Stegostoma tigrinum: one gene and its partner. The protein of the gene in region 1 purifies or fractionates together with the protein of each later gene. This does not show direct contact. Links are inferred from orthologs where the notes say so. Each region holds a gene or a part of one and is shown on either strand. Other genes may lie near its edges.

Region 1 (9,275 bases):
TCTCCCTCTCTCCCTATTTATTCCAGAACCCTCTCCCCATCCCTCTCTCTGATGAAGGGTTTAGGCCCGAAACGTCAGCTTTTGTGCTCCTGAGATGCTGCTTGGCCTGTTGTGTTCATCCAGCTTCACACTTTGTTATCTTGAGTGAGAATAAGTGTTCTTTTTCAGGGTGATGACCCATGATGTGTGGAGTTTCATGGGGATCAGTGCTGGGAGCACAACTGTTTACAATATAAATTAGTGACTTGGAGGAAGGAAGAGAATGTAGGCAAATTTGCAGACGACACTAACATAGGTGGAAAAACAGATCATGAGAGGAATACAGCAATTCACAAAGATATTGATAGATTAGCTAAATGGGCAAAATGTTAGAATATGGAATATAATATGCAAAAATGTAAAGTTGTTCATTTTGGAATGAAGAACAAAAGAACAGAACATTATTTTGTCCAGACCAAACCCCTTTCAGATATACCTATGAGACAGCTTCGAACCCAACTTTTATCTTATTTAAAGGCAAGTGTAAGGTGCTGTGTTCCAGAACTAATTCGATTGGTTACACTATTCGACTTTAAGCACTTCAGTTTTACACTATAGTTAAAAAAACAAACAAAACAGGAAATGGGATAACTCCGATTCTATTGGAAAACTTAACAGAATAATGGATTTTTTTTAACTACTAAACAGCAACTGTTCCAATACAGTAACATCCAATAGACAAAGCCGTGGTAAAGGCAAATTCAATAAATAAGATTGTTTCATATGTCATGTTTCTTCAGTCCAGGAGGAAAGAACATCAAGAAAAAATTTTGGCGTAGAGACAGTGAACTCAAGCATTTTGTGGTAGCTGGGAGAGATGTATAGCAACTTCCAAACCCTAACTACTGAAAGCTAAACAAAAACCCTGGTTCCGTGGGAGCCTGACCCCACCCATTCAGGCTGCTTCTATTCTTCCAACTTTAAAAAAAACCCAAGGCCTCACAAGCTGTTTGCTTTATTGTCTTGAATCATGCTGCTTTGTATCTCTGTCTCAACCTCTCTTCAAAAGAAAAACTAGAACAAAATACACCATTTAAAGCCATAATATGATCACAATTTAGATGGAGGGAAACTGCAAAAAGCTGAAACACAAAGGCACTTGGGGAATATTTGTGCATGAAACACAGAATCCAAACACACAGGTGTTGCAGGCAATCTGGAAATCTTATGAAATGTTGGCGCTTATTTCAAGGGGATTGGAATATAACAGGAGGAAAGTCTTGCTACAATTGTGCAAGATGCTAGTGAGACCACTTCTGGAGTATTCTATGTAGTTTTGGTCCCCCTAATTAAGGAAAGATATCATTTCATTGGCGGCAGTTCACAGAAGAATCAGTGGGATATCCCTGGAATGGAGAATTAATTGATTAAAAGATTAATCAAGTTGGGACTCTACTCATTGGTATGTAGAAGAATGAGAGGTGTTCTCATTGAAACAGATAGGTTTCTTAAGGGGCTTAACAGGACAAATGCTGAAAGAATATTTTCCTTCATTTAGAAGTCTAACATAAGAGGACATAGTCTTAGAATAAAGGGTGTCAATTTAAAACTGAGGTAAAGAGGAATTTCTTCTCTGACAGTTGAGAATCTTTGGAACTCCTTGGCCATATTTAAGGCTGAGATAGGTAGATTCTTGATCAATAGGAGAATGAAGGGTTATGGGGAAAGAGAAGGAAAGTGAATATGAGGAATGGTGTCAGATCCTATTGTACGGGGGAGCAAGCTCAATGGCCTGAACGGCTTACTCCTATTTCTATTTCTAATGGTCTTATGGACTCCCTCCTAAACAGCACTGTGTACTGAAGCTCACCTTCATCATCTTAAGGACGGCTCAAAATGGGCAACAAATGCTGATATAGCCAATCTGCGAGTCACTGTAAATGTTAAATTAGACAAAATATCATGCTGGTAGTAAAATTTGCATATTCTTCTGTCAGTCATTCAATATTACTTTAATACTTCTGGCTTTGTACTTTCAGCCTTCTGCAGAGTTCGGGGATAATTCTGATTATGTGAAGACTTTTAAAACGTGAGATAGTAAATCTGAGTTCATACTTCAAGCTTAGAGAATCTGAGATAACAAGGTGTAGAGCTGGATGAACACAGCAGGCCAAGCAGAATCAGAGGAGCAGGAAAGCTGAAGCTTTGGGCCAGATAATAAAATGTGAGGCTGGATGAACACAGCAAGCCAAGCAGCATCCCAGGAGCATAAAAGCTGACGTTTCGGGCCTAGACCCTTCATCAGAGAGGGGGATGGGGTGAGGGTTCTGGAATAAATAGGGAGAGGGGGGAGGCGGACCGAAGATGGAGAGAAAAGAAGATAGGTGGAGAGGAGAGTTTAGGTGGGGAGGTAGGGAGGGGATAGGTCAGTCCAGGGAAGACGGACATGTCAAGGAGGTGGGATGAGGTTAGTAGGTAGGAGATGGAGGTGCGGCTTGGGGTGGGAGGAAGGGATGGGTGAGAGGAAGAACAGGTTAGGGAGGCAGAGACAGGTTGGACTGGTTTTGGGATGCAGTGGGTGGAGGGGAAGAGCTGGGCTGGTTGTGTGGTGCAGTGGGGGGAGGGGACGAACTGGGCTGGTTTTGGTCTGAAGAAGGGTCTAGGCCCAAAGCATCAGCTTTCCTGCTCCTATGATGCTGCTTGGCCTGCTGAGTTAATCCAGCTCCACGCCTTGTTATCTCATACTTCAAGCAGCTCCATTCAGGCACCACAGATTCTGTTCTAAAATTTCAATCCAACACAATTCAGTCATTTGGTAATTCATCATTAGTAGAAAAATGACAGGCTTGAGACCTCTCAAGCAACCTGGGCAAAACAAAATATTGAATTCCCAAGAGGACGAGAAAGGAATTAAAATGGGGGCAAGATTTATCTTAATATGTTAGAATAATTTTACGGAAAAATATTTAGGAGGAGACTAGTTCCAATATTACTTCCTTCCTCCCAAACCTGTTTGGGAACTTGGTAAAGCAGCTTGTTTGTTGGTTGCACTCCAGGCAATAAATGCTGATCTAGCCAGCGACGCCAACATCCCATAACAAGTAATTTAAAAAGATACATTTTGATTGATGATTTGGTTATAGCTGATGGTGGCGGAGGGGTTGGATGCTTGTGGGTGGATGCAAGTAGGCTGCTTTGTCCTGAATAAAAGCCAGACTTCTTGAATGTTGTCAGACCTACACTCATCCAAACAAGTGGAGAACTGCAAATGCTGTAAATCAGGAACAAAAACAAAGTTGTTGGAAAAGCTCAGCTGGTCTGGCAGCATCTGTGAAGGGAAAAACAGAGTTAATGTTTCGGGATAACAAGGTGTGGAGATGGATGAACACAGCAGGCCAAGCAGCATCTTAGGAGCAGGAAAGCTGACGTTTCAGGCCTAGGCCCTTCAACAGAAATGGGGGAGGGGAAGTGGGTTCTGAAATAAGTAAGGAGAGAGGAGGAGGCGGACAGAAGATGGATAAAGGAGAAGATAGGTCGAGAGGAGACAGACAAATTAAAGAGGTAGGGATGGAGTCAGTAAAGGTGAGGTCAAAGGGGCGGGATGAGGTTAGTAGGTAGGAAATGGGGGTGTGGCTTGAGGTGGGAGGAGGGGATAGGTGAGAGGAAGAACAGGTTAGGGAGGCGGGGGCGAGCGGGGCTGGTTTTGGGATGCTGTTGGGGGAAGGGAGATTTTGAAGCTTGTGAAATCCACATTGATACCATTGGGCTGCCGGGTTCCCAAGCGGAATATGAGTTGCTGTTCCTGCAACCTTCAGGTGGCATCGTTGTGGCACTGCAGGAGGCCCAGGATGGACACGTCGTCTGAGTAATGGGAGTTGGAATGGTTAGCAAATGGGAGGTACAGTTGTTTATTGCAAACCGAGCGTAGGCGTTCTGCAAAGCGGTCCCCAAGCCTCCGCTTGCTTTCCCCAATGTAGAGGAGGCCACAACGGGAACAGCGGATGCAGTATGCCACACTGGCAGATGTGCAGGTGAACTTCTGCTTGATGTGGGGCCTGGGATGTGGATGAGGGAGGAGGTGTGGGGACAGATGTAGCACTTCCTGCGGTTGCAGGAAAAAGTACCGGGTGTGGTGGGGTTGGAGGGGAGTGTGGAGTGGACAAGGTAGTCACGGAGAGAATGATCTCTCCGGAAAGCAGACAAGGGTGGGTAGGGGAAAATGTCTTTGGTGGTGGGGTCAGATTGCAGATGGCAGCAATGTCGGAGGATGATGCATTGTATCCGAGGTTGGTGGGGTGGTACGTGAGGACGGGGGGGATTCTGTTTTGATTGTTATTGTGGGGAAGGGGTGTGAGGAATGAAATGCGGGAGACACTGTCGATGATGTTCTTCACCACTGAGGAGGGGAAAGTTGCAGTCCTTGAAAAACGAGGACATCTGGGATGTGCGGGAGTGAATGCTTCATCCTGGAAGCAGATGCGGCGGAGGCGGAGGAATTGGGAATAGGGGCTGGAATTTTTGCAGGAGGGTGGGTGGGAGGAGGTGTATTCTAGGTAGCTGTGGGAGTCGGTGGGCTTGAAATGGATATCGGTTTGTAGGTGGTTCCCCGAGATGAGACAGAGAAGTCCAGGAAGGTGAGGGAGGTGTTAGAGATAGTCCAGGTGAAGTTGCTAGTGACCCTTCCTCACAACAATGTGTTCATTGGAAGAACCCACATTGACTGTATGGGCCGAATTGACACCATCTGCACTGTGACTAATTCTGTCATTTCAACATTAGTCTTCAACCCACTGCTGACTCTTTCTGAGAGCAAATCGAAACTTAATCTCGCTGCCCGTTGTTCTGGAGAATGGAAAGAGAAAATACTTCCTACCAAGACGCAGTTAGAAACAAGCCTAACAAAGTGTGAGGCTGATTGAACACAGCAGGCCAAGCAGCATCTCAGGAGCACAAAAGCTGACGTTTCGGGCCTAGACCCTTCATCAGAGAGATCCTCAGACATCCTCTCTGATGAAGGGTCTAGGCCCGAAACGTCAGCTTCTGTGCTCCTGAGATGCTGCTGGGCCTGCTGTGTTCATCCAGCCTCACATTTTATTATCTTGGATTCTCCAGCATCTGCAGTTCCCATTATCATAGAAACAAGCGTATTGCACAGAACCCGGCCTTCCAGCAGGAGGCGCAGGCACTCAGCAGGGGGCGGAATGCGGGGAGGCACGGGCGGTGGCGGTCGGCAGGGGGCGGAATGCGGGGAGGACCGGGCGGTGGCGGTCGGCAGGGGGCGGAATCCGAGGAGGACCGGGCGATGGCGATCGGCAGGGGGTGGAATGCGGGGAGGACAAATCGGTGGCGGTCGGCAGGGGGCGGAATGCGGGGAGGACAAATCGGTGGCGGTCGGCAGGGGGCGGAATGCGGGCAGGATCAGCCGGTGACGGTCAGCAGGAAGCGGTTTGCTGGGAGTTCCTGTCCCCCGGTTGCTAGGCTGATTAATCGTGCGGCGGTTGATTGAGGGTCAGTGCCGGTGCGGAATTTGCTGATCCTCCCCGTACACACCCACCGGCTTCCGGGAAGCTGGAGCGCGGTCTCGGTCCGTTTTACTGGACGTGGCTGGCGTCTCGGCTAGTTTCGACATTAGAGCCGCCGGTTTCGGGCCTGTGACTGTGGCGGCGAGGAGCAGTTCCCTGGGGAATGATGTGAGGAGGAAGAGGCGGTGAGATCGTGCGCTGGGTGAAGGATGGAGGATAAATACACCAACAACATCATCTCCAGCACCAGGCTGGGCCCTGTGGATGCACCCAGCTCCAGGTAAATGTGTCCCGGGACTGTCAGTGAGCCGATCAGTCAAAATATCAGGAGCGCCAACGGACTACATAGGACGGAACACGTTTTCTTAACAAAGTGGTCAATTACCAGAGGTAATAGATTGCAGAGTGAGAGGGAAACTGAGTAATTTATTCACCCAAAGGGTAGTAGCGATTGGAACTCCCTAAAAAGCTCTTGGAGCTGGAACGTCTCATTGCATTCAACCACATCACTTTGATATACACATGATCCCCCCCCCGCCCCGTCAAAATCCCAGGCCTTATCTTTCCTGAAACGTCAGCTTTTGTGCTCCTGAGATGCTGCTTGGCCTGCTGTGTTCATCCAGCCTCACATTTTATTATCTTTAAACTGTACTGGGCATGACTAAAGATGCAGTTCTCAAATTTAAACAGGTGTGGAAAAATTGATTTGCAGATTTAGAGTTTTCTCATCTACTTCATGACTGTTGTTGGTATTGGGATAGCAGGGTTAATATTCTGTATACTTTTAAAACAAAATGTTGGCATGATCCAAAATTCTGCATGTTCTATTTCTGCTGCTCAATTTCTGTGAGGGTTATGAGGAGTAAAGTAGGAGACAGCATTGTTTTTAAATTTATGAATATTTATTTATATTTATTAGTCAGTTTTAAATTATGTAGGATTCGATACTGTCTTGTAAAATATTAAATAATTATGACTGCATTTAGTTTAAAGTAGCACAGTGATTAAAAGCTACCTTAAAAGAATGAGTCTGACAGCATCTGTGAAGAAAAATCATGTTACTGTTTCATGGCCAGTGTCCCTTCCTCAGAACTGATGGTAGCTAGGAAAATGTCAGTTTATATTCCAGAAGATAGGTTGGGGGGTGGTGGTAAGGAGTAAATGTCAGATAGGAATAGAGCCCAAAGTGACAGAGGAACAGTTGGACAGTCAAAGGAGTTGATAATGATCTGGCTGGGAGGGTGAATTGTTGTTAACGGGGACTGTTAGTAACGAACAATTGGTAGTGTCTAATGACAGGCTATGTGATAACAAGGCCTGGGGTGGGGGCTAGGACATGGGAGATTTTAGGCCCTAAGATTATTGAACTTGATTTTGAGTCTGGAGGGCTTCAGGGTCCCCAAATGGAAAATGACATGTTCTTCCAGCTTGTGGTGTGCTTCACTGGAACACTGCAGCAAGCCTGAGACACAGATATTGGTTAGGGAACAGGGTGTTGTGTCAAGGTGGTAGGCAACTGGAAGCTCAGGATCTCTTCTGTGGGCAGAATGTGGGTGTTTTGCAAAGCGGCCATCCAGCCTACCCTTCGTTTCCCTGGTATAGAGGAGACCACATTCTGAGCAGTGAATACAGTAGACTAGATTGTGGGAAATGCAGGTAATGTGCTGCTTCACCTGGATGATATGTTTGGGCCTTTGGAAACTAGGGTGGGAAGAGGTAAGTGGGGTAGGTATTACACCTACAGCAGTTGCAAGGGAAGGTGCTGTGGGCAGGTGTTGGGAGTGAAGGAAGACTGGACCACGGTGCCCCAGAGGGAACGGTCTGTGCGGACAATGGAGGGGAGGTGTGGGGGGCGCGGGGGATATGTGTCTGTTGGTGGTATCTCACTGGAGGTGGTGGAAATGGTGCTGATGATCTTCTGGATGTGGATGCTGGGGGTGGTAGATAAGGACAAGGGGTCCCCTGTTGCTGTTCTGGGAGGGAAGAGAGGGGTTAAATGCAGAAGTGTGGGAGATGGGCCAGAGGACTCTTTCAACAACGATGCTGAAGAATCCAAGGTTGAGGAAGAAGATTGACACTGGAGCCTCCGAAATGTCTATGTTGGCATCATCTGAAAATATGTGACAGAGTCGGAAGAACTGAGAGAATAGAATGGAGTCTTTACAAGAAGAAGAGTGCAAGGATATATAGATCAGGTAGCTGTGGAAGTCAGTCGGTTTATAGTGGATATTAGTGGCCAGTCTATTCCCAGAAATTGAAACAGATAACGAGGAAGTGAAAGGAGGAGTCAGAGATAGACCAAGTGAAAGTGAGGGCAAGGTGGAAATTGGAAGCAGAATCAATGAACGTTTCCAATTCCAGATGAGAGAGGGAAGCAGCACCGATGATATCATCGATATAGCAGAGAAAGTGTTCCGGGTGGTGGCCAGAATAGGACTGGAGCAAGGAATGTTCCACGTACCTCACAAAGAGACAGGCATAACTGGGACCCATGTAGGTGCCCATGGCCACCCCTCTGGCCTGAAGAAAATGAGAGGAGTTGAAAAGTTGTTGAGGGTAAGGATGAGCTTGGCCAAGTAGAGGGTGGCGGTGGGTAGGAACAATTCAGGCCTTTGCTCCAGGAAGAAGCGGAGAACCCTGAGACCATCGTGGTGGGGGATAGACCTGTAAAGGGATTGCACATCTATGGTAAAGAAGAGATGGCAGCAGCCACTTCTGAAACTGGCATAAAGTGTCAGAGGATTCACAAATGTATGTTAGCAGGGACTGGACAGGAGAGAAAAGACTGAGTCAAGGTAGGAACAGATGAGTTCTGTGGGGCAGGAGCAGGCTGACACAATAGATCTGCCAGGCAATCCTATTTGTGGATTTTTGAAAGGAGGTAGAAGCAAGCTGTGCGGGGCTGGGGGCCTGTCAGCTTGGAGGCAGTGGGGGATGAGAGATAACCTGGATGAAATGAGATCAGTTACCTGATATGCCATGGTGAGGTCATTGTACTTATCTCTTCCTGCCTTGACTCGGTCTTTGGCAGGGACTGAACCAGGGGAGAAAAGGCTGCACATATCTTAACATCTAACAGAGAAATAATGGCATAAACCCAAGGGTAGGTAAGAATTTCTTTTATGCAGCAAGTGATTATGACCTGGAACAAAAACAAAGTTGCTGGAAAAGCTCAGCAGGTCTGGCAGCATCTGTGAAGGAGAAAACAGAGTTAACATTTTAGGTCCGGTGACCCTTCCTCAGGTTATGACTTGGAATGCATTGTCTAAGAGGGAATTGAATGACAACTTTTGAGAGGGAATTGGGAACACTTGTAAATTTTGCACGACTGTAAGTGGCAAGGGAGTGCAGCTTATTAGATAGCTCCTTTCAAAGAGAAGACCGATGGGCTGAAGAGCCACTTTCTGTATCATTCTTAGAGGCTAAGAATGTTGTGCATTGGGAATTTTGAAAGGATTAACTATAATGTTCAATGTATAAATAATAAAATGTTTCTTAATCTGCACCCATGTTGCTGAATTTGTATCCATAGTTTAAAAATTAGGACGGTTACTATAGTTTGTCATTTATCTTATTTAATTCACTGGTATATAAAACAAAAGTACTGATCTGTCTTCTCTGATGAAGGGTCTAGGCCCGAAACGTCAGCTTTTGTGCTCCTGAGATGCTGCTTGGCCTGCTGTGTTCATCCAGCCTCACATTTTATTATACTGATCTATCTTTGGTATTTTTGCTGCAGGTTTACACGATATATCACACTGCTGTGCCTGGCCA
Region 2 (10,147 bases), on another chromosome or scaffold:
TTTTCCTCATCTCAGTTTTAAACTGGCAACCCTTTATTCTGAGACTATGCCTTCTGGTCCTCGACTCTCCCATGAAGGGAACATCCTCTCAGCATTTACCTTGTCAAGCCCCTTAAGAATCCTACATCTTCAACGACCTTTCATTTTTTCCTAAATTCCGAGTACAACGCCAACCTCTAACTTTTATTCATAAGATGATCCCTCCATACCAGGGATCATAGAACATAGAATAATACAGCGCAGAACAGGCCCTTCCGACCTTGATGTTACGCCGACCTGTGAACTAATCAAAGCCCATCCCCCTACACTATCCCTACAAATATTCTCTCAACTGCCTTCAATGAAATAATATCTTTCCTTAAATAAGGAAAACTGCTCTCAGGACTGCAGATACACTCTCACCAGCGCCTTGTACAATTGCTGTAAATCCTCCCTACTCTTAAACCTCTTGAAATAAGGGCTAACATCCATTAGCCATTCTGATGACCTTCTGCACTTGTGCTAGCTCTGTTTTTCATGCACAAGTACCTCCAATTCTTAGTTCTCATTCTCCCTTTCAAAATTAATCACCTCACATTTTACCATAATATAATCCATTTGCCAACTTCTTCCCAACTTATCCTATCAATACCTCTACGTAAACTTCTTTATCCTTCTCAGGATTTGCTTATCTCTAAAGTATGATTCTATGTATATGACTGTCCCTGACACCATGATTACTACCCCTGGATACATCCTGTTGCACCAGCAGGATAGGCTCAGCAGAGGTGGCAACACAATAGCACATAGTTGGGACCAGCCCTGGGAGTCCTCAATATTTCCATGAGACTTCATGATGGCTGAGTCACTGGTTCAAACACAGGCAAGGAAACCTCCTACTAATTAACACATATTTTCCTCCCTTGAATTGTCCTCCAAGTTGAAAACACTTGGAGGAAACATGGAGGATAGCAGGGGTGCAGAATGTACTCCTAGTGATGGTCATTGAAATTTCCCAACCAGTGACTTGGCAACTGTATGACTGATCAAGCTAAACGACAATGGCACAGATGGTGAGGGAATCAAAATGAGAGAAAAACATACTTAAACTCATCCTCAGCAATACGTCTGTCACAAATGCACATGGATACATAAGGCATTGGTTACAGCAAAAGAAAATGGACCCTGACAACCTTCCAGCAATAGCACTGAAGACTTGTGCTCCAGAACTTGCTGCACCCCTTGTCAAGCTTTTTCCGGTACAATTACAATACTGGCAACTACCTGATAATGTAGAAAATTGCCCAGGTACATGCTGTACACCAAAAAAGCAGGTCAAATCCAACCTGGCCAATTAATGCCCCATCAGTTGACTCTCAAAATGATGGATGATGCTATCAAATGTTATCTGTTCATTGGCACGCTGTTTGCTGTACTCCCAGGGCCATTTGACTCCTCACCTCATTCCAAGCTTAACTCAAACATGTACAATTGCGCTGAAATCCAAAGAGGAGGTGACAGTACATGCTCTTGCTATTGAGGCCATGTGACTGACTATGGCATCAAGGAGCATGAACAAAACCGGAATAAGGGGGAAAACTCTCCGCTGGCTAGGGTCATACTTGGTCCAATGGAAGAGGGTTGTGGTTCTTTGGAAGTCATCGCTGTGGTTTGTCAGGGTAGGTATTTCTAATTAACCGGTTCAGAGATGCTATTACACGCCTCTGGTATAGGTGGGACTCGAGCCTGGGCTTCCTGACCCAGAAATATGGATACCAATGCACAAGAGCTCTAGTTCCACAGGGTAGTGTCCTAGGTCCAACCATCTTCATCAATGACATTCCCACTATAAAGGTCAGAAGTAGAAATGTTCACCGATGTTTGCATAATACTGAGGTGTTGTTTGTGACTCCTCAGACACTGAGGAAGTCCATGTTCAAATGCAGCAAGACTGAGACAATATTCAGGCTTTGACTGAAAAGGGCAACTAGCATTTCACCACACAAATGCTAGTCAATGACCATCTCCAGTAAGGTACAATCTAACCACTGCCCCTTGACATTCAATAGAAATACCATCACTAAATCCCCCACTATCAACATCCTGGGGGTTACCATTGACCAAAAACTGAACTGGGCTCATCATACAAATACAGTGGCTACAAAAGCCAGTCAGGGCCTGAGAATTCCGCAGCAAGTAACTCACCATCTGACTCTCCAAAGCCTGTCCACCAACTACAAGGCACAAGTCAGGAGTGTGATGGAATATTCCTACTTGGCTGGATGAGTGCAGCTCCAACAACACAAGAACCTTGAGACCACCCAGGATAGAGCAGCCACTTAATTAGCACCCCATCCACAAGCATCCACTCCCTCTGGCACCGATGTTCAGGAGCAAGAATGTATACAGTCTACTGTCAAAATACACTAAAGCTCCTGAGACATCATCTTCCAAACCCAAGACCGCTTCCATATGGAAGGACAAAATACCTAAAAAATCACCACCTGCAAAATTCCACTCCAAGCCACACACCATCCCAACATAGAAATATTTCTTTGTTCCTTCAGTGTTGTTGGGTTAAAATTCTGAATTCATTTCCTAACAGCATTGTAGGCCTATATAGAGCACTAGGACTAAGACTGTTCAAGGCAACTCATTGCTACCTTTTCAAGGCAACCAAGGTTGGGAATTAATGCTGGTCCAGGCAGTGAATAATGAGGGTATAGTTCAGATGTAGAGCATTTGACTGCAGATCAAGAGGTCCCTAATTCAAATCTGGGAGCCCCCTTCAGATAGGCTCCTTTGGTGAACGTGAACTGTATCACAATTTGTCTTTCAACTTGCTTAAATCAGACTGCATGCATATTGGATGGGGTGTTCCTGCTGATGTTAAGTTATTTCGGATGGTACAGTGGTCTCTGCTGCTGCTTCACAACACCCAGGATTCAGGTTCAATTCCAGCCTTGGATGACTTTGTGGGGTTTGCACATTCTCCCCATGCCTGCATGGGTTTCCTCCCACAGTTCGATGACAGGCATGTTAGGTGGACTGGCCATGCTAAATTCTCCCATAGTGTCCAGGGATGTACAGGCTATTCAAAGTTTTGGCAAAGATCAGTACCTTGGGTTGTGGGTGAGGTTGTTGGCTTGCTCACCAAGCTGGCTTGTTCTCGCTCAGATGTTTCATCGCCTAGCTTGGTGATGAAACGTCTTAATGAAAACCAGCCAGCTCAGCGAGCAAGCCAACGACTTCATGTGCAGGCTAGGTGTATTAGCTACGGTAATTGTGAGGTTACGAGGATAAGATAGTGTGGACAGGTCTGATGGGATGCTGTTTGGCAGGTTTTTGCAGACTCGATAGGCCAAATGGCCTCTTTATGGAATGTATGGATTCTTTGATTCCTCCATCCCATGAAATGGCTGGACAGCTGGTTTGCAATGCAGAGTAATGGCAACAGTGCGGGTTCAATTGCCATACCAGCTGAGGTCACCATGGGGGCCATCTTTAAAAAGGGGAAGCAGTGGCCTAGTGGTATTATTGCTGGACTATTAATCCAGAGACTCAGGCTCTGTGTACCTGGCCTTGGACTGCCACCACAGCAGATGAAGTTTGAATTCAAATAAGAGAAAAATTTAAAAACCTTCTCTAGGCCACAATTCTTCCTCAACCCACAAGCAACATTCCCTAATCTTCTTGTTTCAGAAGATTTAATATCAGTTTCTAACTTCACCGTGACAGCAGTGAAGTCAACCCACCAGAAACTTCGCGTCTTAGCTTCTGCTCCCATTGTCTTCCCAATCAGTTCACGCAAGTTGATGCCAATAGCATGTAATCTTCTTCAACCATATCTTCATATATGAAATTCTGCAATATGATCCTCTCCAATTGGTCCTTAAACTTTAATAATGTAACACAATTGAGTCAACTCAATGGATGTGGAAGCTTTGGAAAGGGTGCAGAGGAGATTTACTAGGATGTTGCCTGGTATGGAGGGAAGGTCTTACGAGGAAAGGCTGAGGGACTTGAGGCTGTTTTCGTTAGAGAGAAGAAGGTTGAGAGGTGACTTAATTGAAACATATAAAATAATCAGAGGGTTAGATAGGGTGGATAGGGAGAGCCTTTTTCCTAGGGTGATGACGGCAAGCACGAGGGGGCATCGCTTTAAATTGAGGGGTGAAAGATAAAGGACAGATGTCAGGTAGTTTCTTTACTCAGTAGTACAGGAATGGAACGCTTTGCCTGCAACAGTCGTAGATTTGGCAAGTTTAAGTACATTTGAGTCGTCATTGGATAAGCATATGGATGTACATGGAATAGTGTAGGTTAGATGGGCTTCAGATCAGTATGACAGGTCAGCACAACATTGAAGGCCGAAGGGCCTGTACTTTGCTGTAATGTTCTATGTTCAATGTAACTATTGTAAGGTTCTCAGCAACATTTTCACTAATTTTCATAAAGAGCTCCAATTTTGTCAAACAATCTTATCCTGAGATGATTACTGCTAACAATTGCACAGATTCCAAATAATTGATAATGATATTCTTTGCTTATTTTTAAAGCTGAACAATCCTGTTACACACCTATCTCCATGGCCTTGTCCAAATAAACCATCTTGCAATTTAAGTTTTCCAACTGTGTTTGTTTGGTCTCTTCCCAATTTTAAACACCATTGTCAAAGATTGAAGAGCTCATAATTTCTCTCCACTAATGCTGCTAGACCTGCTGAAATTTTCCAGCATTTTCTGTTTTACTTCATATAATCTCACCAACCACAAGAACGCCCTGAAAGGTATCCGCTGATTATATTCTCAGCAAACCCACCAATAACGTTTCACACTACTCCACCCTGACAGTTCACATTTAGGTATTTAGTAAAGGTTGGCTGTTAAAATATCAATGCATACTATGCACTGTTACAAAAAAACAAAGCAGCAGACCTAACTGCAATATCACAACTTATGTATAATTATATCGAAAGTGTCAATGGTCAGTACGTATCCTGTAACTGGAAACACTAAATATTCAATATTCAAACGATACCCAGAGACACGAACAACGGATACCAAAAACCTGGAATGACATCCTGTTCCCATGAAGAACAGCGTGCGGCTGTTTTAATAGCACCCGACCCTTCACTATCACACTCACCTTCACAAGTCACTGCAGCTCTGGGACGGATCCTGAGTCTGCGCACTTTACTTGTTAGCCGTGGAGGACACCGTACCGACCCTAACGCGTTTGAACTGTTTCGAATTCCGTGCTCCTGACAGAGCTGCCTGTACCTCCTCCCACCATATCACTTGTCCTGGTTTTGTCAACCGTTGTGGCTGGACCCGGCTGTTCAGGAAAAATAAGAGTCAGTTCAATCAGTAATATTTTAACAGGATCTCAGCAATAAAAACGCCCGCTTGTTTTACTGAAGTTTACCTCACAACTTGTTCGCAAAAACCTTGCTTCACAAATCCTCAATACCGAACAGTTTCATCAATGTTTTCAGGATACAGTATGGGATCCCAATGCATTTTAAACACTCTGCTAGTAGACGAAAATCCTGTTGACAGTCCGAAAACTTTTTTTAAAATCTAGTTTGAACGAAAATACTCTTGCCCTGTCCCCTCAAAGTAATTTAAAATATTATCATTTGCTGCTGCATAGTTTGCAAAATTCATTATTTACAATGTGGGCGAACTCTTTTTCTTGGTTGCAGCTTGCAAACCCAGTTTGATGGTTGTCTTCCCTTGTCCCCGGCAGCTAGTTAGCAAGCTGTAGAGTTTCCCGAGTGAGCTTAAGAACCGTCAGTACAAACAGCAAGAGATAGTAGGAACTGTAGATGCTAGAGAATCTGAGATAACAAGGTATAGAGCTGGATGAACGCAGCAGGCCAAGCAGCATCAGAGGAGCAGGAAGGCTGACGTTTCGGGTCTGGACCCTTCTGAAGATTTCTGACACACCTTGTCATCTCAGTACAAACAGCAATATGTGTTAAAGGAAACGTCCCCATGTCAACACATTTTCTATCTCTAGACCAGAAGTGATGAGTGCAAAAGTAAATATGGATGTATTTGGGGAGGCGGTGTATTTTGGGTAAACGAAGTTTGCACGGGCTGTAAAGAAGGGTTTTGTTGACTGGCATTGTCCGCGTGACGGCGGGGGGATGGACCAGCTTTAACAGTCCGTGGGGGCGGGGCCGAATCGAGCAGGCGGCGGAAGATGGCGGAAGACACGTCTCGGTACCTGAGCGGGGACTATTACCCTCGCAAATTCGGGCCCAAGCCCGATGTGGTCCCCTCGGGGGTGACCGAGAGGAAGGTCTTCCCGTTCAACATCGGCCTGGACAAGCCGGACATGGTGGCGGTGGATGTGGTGAATGTGAAGGAGGAGGAAGGTTAGAGCAAAGTGGTGGGGGGGAAAGCAGACTAAGGAAAACTCCTTTACTGTGTCCCCGACACTCCCTTACCTCCCCACAGCTCCCTCCCCCCCCGTCCCCCCCCTCCCTCCCCCCCCGTCCCCCCCCCTCCCTCCCCCCCCCGTCCCCCTCCCCCCCCGTCCCCCTCCCCCCCCCGTCCCCCCCCCGTCCCCCTCCCCCCCCCGTCCCCCTCCCCGTCCCCCTCCCCCCCCCGTCCCCCTCCCCGTCCCCCTCCCCCCCCCGTCCCCCTCCCCGTCCCGTCCCCCTCCCCCCCCCTCCGCCTCCCCTCCGTCCCCCCCCTCCCTTCTCCTCCCCCCCCCCCGTCGTCGTCCCCCGTCGTCCCCCCCCCCCGTCGTCCCCCCCCTCCCCCCCCCTCCCCCCCCTCCCCCCCCGTCCCCCCGTCCCCCCCGTCCCCCCCGTCCCCCCCGCCCCCCCCCGTCCCCCCCCCCGTCCCCCCCCCCCCGTCCCCCCCCCCCGTCCCCCCCCCGTCCCCCCCCCCCCCGTCCCGTCCCCCGTCCCCCGTCCCCCCCCGTCGTCCCCCCCCCCGTCTCCCCCCCCGTCCCCCGTCCCCCCCCCGTCGTCGTCCCCCCCCGTCGTCGCCCCCCCTCGCCCGTGTCCCCCCTCCCTCCCCCGTCCCCCCTCCCCCGTCCCCCCTCCCCCGTCCCCCCTCCCCCGTCCCCCCTCCCCCGTCCCCCCTCCCCCGTCCCCCCTCCCCCTCTCCCCTCCCCCTCTCCCCTCCCTCCCCCTCTCCCCTCCCTCCCCCTCTCCCCTCCCTCCCCCTCTCCCCCCCCCGTCCCCGACGACGGGGGGGGGGGGACGGGACGGGGGGGGGGGATGTATCAAGGGGCGGTGTGGACTTGTTGGGCCAAAGGGCCTGTTTCCACACTGTAGGTATGCTAACCTAATCTAATCTAATCATTGATGATTTCTGCGACTGAGTTGTTTTAATTAGACATTCATATCGAATTTTAGTGGTGTGATTACTCCACTGACTGATTTATTGAAGATTTGCAGAAAATCATAGTGGGCAGAGACATCAGAAGGCATTTGACAGCCTGAAAGCTGTATTAACCCCTGCCCCAGTGTTAGCTACACCAAATTATGCAAACCCATTCAAGGTGGTGGTTGATGTGGGTGTCAATGCTGTGCTCTTGCATGAAGATAAGAATATAGAAAGCTCTGTTGGGTATTTTGCCGGAACATTGAATAATCTTCGACAAAAATATTCCGCAATTGAGAAGGAGACCTTGAGTTTAGTGTTCATCCAGCCTCACATTTTATCTTGGAATTCTCCAGCATCTGCAGTTCCCATTATCTCTTATCCTTGAGCTTAGTGTTGGCTTTGTAACATTTCAACACATATCTTTCCAATAGTGTGTCTGAGACCACGCTATATACTGCTCTTAACTATTTAAAGTTTTTAGGAAAATTTAAGGATAAAAAGACCAGACTGTTTAGATCGAGCTTATTATTGCCTGGTGGTTATCTTTATCATCCCTGGTGCTTTCATTCAGATTTTGCTTAGCTGCCATTCAAAAAAAGGTAAATGCAAAGTTGATGTTTTCGATATACAGCATTACAATAAGCTTTGAAAAGTAGAAAGGAGCACCCAAATATGAAAATCTAATATTATTATAAAAACTCATCCAATAGTGGGTTATTTGTGATATGTTAAAGATGTATGTTCCTATAGTATTTGACCTACTTAAGTCATTTAAAATGTTCCTATTAAAATGTGTTTTAAATGACCTTCATAAATATTTATATATCTTGATCAATGTTGATCTTCCAGGCTACAAGAGAAAACTAGATACCAGTACTTATCTTTTGGTAAGTCCACTGTTTAACATGGTCTGATTTCTCCTTGTTCTTTATTCAAACACAACTTGAGTGAATTAGGAATCTACTTTCTGACTATGGTGTCTGAGGAAACTTGTGTCAAAATAATGACTGGAAACTCAGGACACTACTCGCATCTTAACTGATGGCGTCTAACTTTTTTTAAAGTGTTAATTAATTGTACTTTTGAGTATTGCTTTAAATTTGTTTCATGAACAGAAACACCATTTTGAAATCTTTCATGTTAATTAGATGGCACAGGGATGAAGGCTTACCATTTGTATTGTAGACAGTCATTAAAAGAAATTTGGAGATCTGTAACAGTAGCATAGAGTGATAAGATGTAAGATTGTTATTACTGTTTCTAATAAACAATAGATTATTGACCTTAGTGGTGGCAAGGCTTTCCCCTTTGCAGAGGATTGGAGGAAGAGTCAATCAAACAGTTCGTACAATTAGGAACAAAATACAGATGTTAGAAATCTGAAATAAAAACAGAAAATGCTGGAGAAACCTGGATCGTTTGACAACATCTATGGACCAAGAAACAGAATTAAGGCGTTTCCAATTTCAAAATGCCCGACGGAGGTTACCATCTTCCTCCAATGCTAACAATTCTGTCCTGGCCTGTGGCAGTGTTCCACTGACATTTAACGTGAGCTGTAGTAACAGAAACTCATTGACTACTTAGGCACCCTATAGCCTCTAAATGTAAAAGTTGAATTCAACAACTTCAGAACAGAAGGTTGGTCTTTCATTTTGATGACAATTCCTATCCTCCCCACCTTGTTTGTAACTTGTTAGCATTGATTTTTATCCTTTACTCACCTATTCATGCCTGTTCTACATCTCAAACACTTCTTTACCACCATTAACACTCCCTTTATCTTTTGTTCTGGGCACCCTCCCCATCTGTACCACTTGCTTTTCCTTTGTCAACGGCATAAAACAAGCTTTTCCATTTCCATTCAATTCAGACAAGAGTGATATCAGGTTCCGAAATATTAGCTCTGTTTCTCTTTTCAAAGATGCTGCCGGGCTTGTTGAGTTTCTTCAGCATTTTCTTTTTTGATTTAAAACAATTTGTGTGTTCATTCTCAAATTAAAACAGTGCTGGAAAAGGTCAGCAGGTGTGGCAGCATTTATGGAGAGAAATCAGAGTTAACGTTTCATGTCCAATGATCCTTTGTCAGAACCTGAAACGTTAACTCTGATTTCTCTCCACGTATGCTGCCAGACCTTCTGAGCTTTTCTAGCAATTTCTGGTTTTCTTTCTGATTTCCATAAATGCAGTTCTTTTGGTTTATTGTGCGTTCATTCTGTTTGCTAATCGTATGCATTGGTCTACAATTAAATAAGCTGGCTTTAAAAAGTATATATCTGTTCATTCTCTGCGTTGATCAGTGAACAGATGACATCGGATTTTATATTATTAGGTCTTGGGTTGTGTGCTACCCTCTGTGTTTCTTCTTAGTGGTGTTCAACATGGAGAAGCACTAATTCATTAACGGTGGTGAGGGAAATAGGTGATAATCAGTTGGATATTTCTTTGCCCAAAATTGACCTGATGCAATGAAACTACATGTGGCTTGGAGTTAATGTTGACTCTCAAGCCACACACTCCTGATAGCCCAGCAGATGTGGCAGCACTATGTTCCTTCTGTTTTCTCCAGCCACTCTACAGACTTCCATGGTCCATGTGCAGCAGTGGCAGAGAACTGGAATGAATGCATCAGAACACCGAGTGGCCCTTCGCATCAACTGCATAGCTTAGAGGGTGCATTCCTGCAGAATCTGTCCTGCCACCTGGACAGAACATTAACCAGGAATGGCACTGGAGAATCTTGGGGCATTGGCTGTGAAGAATTGATCGATTAATTAATTTATTGTCACGTGTACCGAAATACAGTGAAAAGTTTTGTT

The links.
Region 2: the proteins of slc30a5 (region 1) and slc30a6 purify together in Homo sapiens (co-immunoprecipitation; 5 studies listed by BioGRID and IntAct, with this or other methods). This does not show direct contact. The link is inferred for Stegostoma tigrinum from reciprocal best matches to the Homo sapiens genes SLC30A5 and SLC30A6.

What each region holds. Positions count from the first base shown.
Region 1 is NC_081356.1:109,703,875-109,713,149, reverse strand, and holds the start of slc30a5 (proton-coupled zinc antiporter SLC30A5), read left to right. Parts: upstream 1-5,377; 5' UTR 5,378-5,710; coding exon 5,711-5,781; intron 5,782-9,240; coding exon 9,241-9,275. UniProt on the Homo sapiens protein: Together with SLC30A6 forms a functional proton-coupled zinc ion antiporter mediating zinc entry into the lumen of organelles along the secretory pathway.
Region 2 is NC_081362.1:79,760,255-79,770,401, forward strand, and holds the start of slc30a6 (zinc transporter 6), read left to right. Parts: upstream 1-6,147; 5' UTR 6,148-6,189; coding exon 6,190-6,364; intron 6,365-8,177; coding exon 8,178-8,215; intron 8,216-10,147. Other genes in the region: protein CEBPZOS-like, read right to left, coding at 5,020-5,072. UniProt on the Homo sapiens protein: Has probably no intrinsic transporter activity but together with SLC30A5 forms a functional zinc ion:proton antiporter heterodimer, mediating zinc entry into the lumen of organelles along the secretory pathway.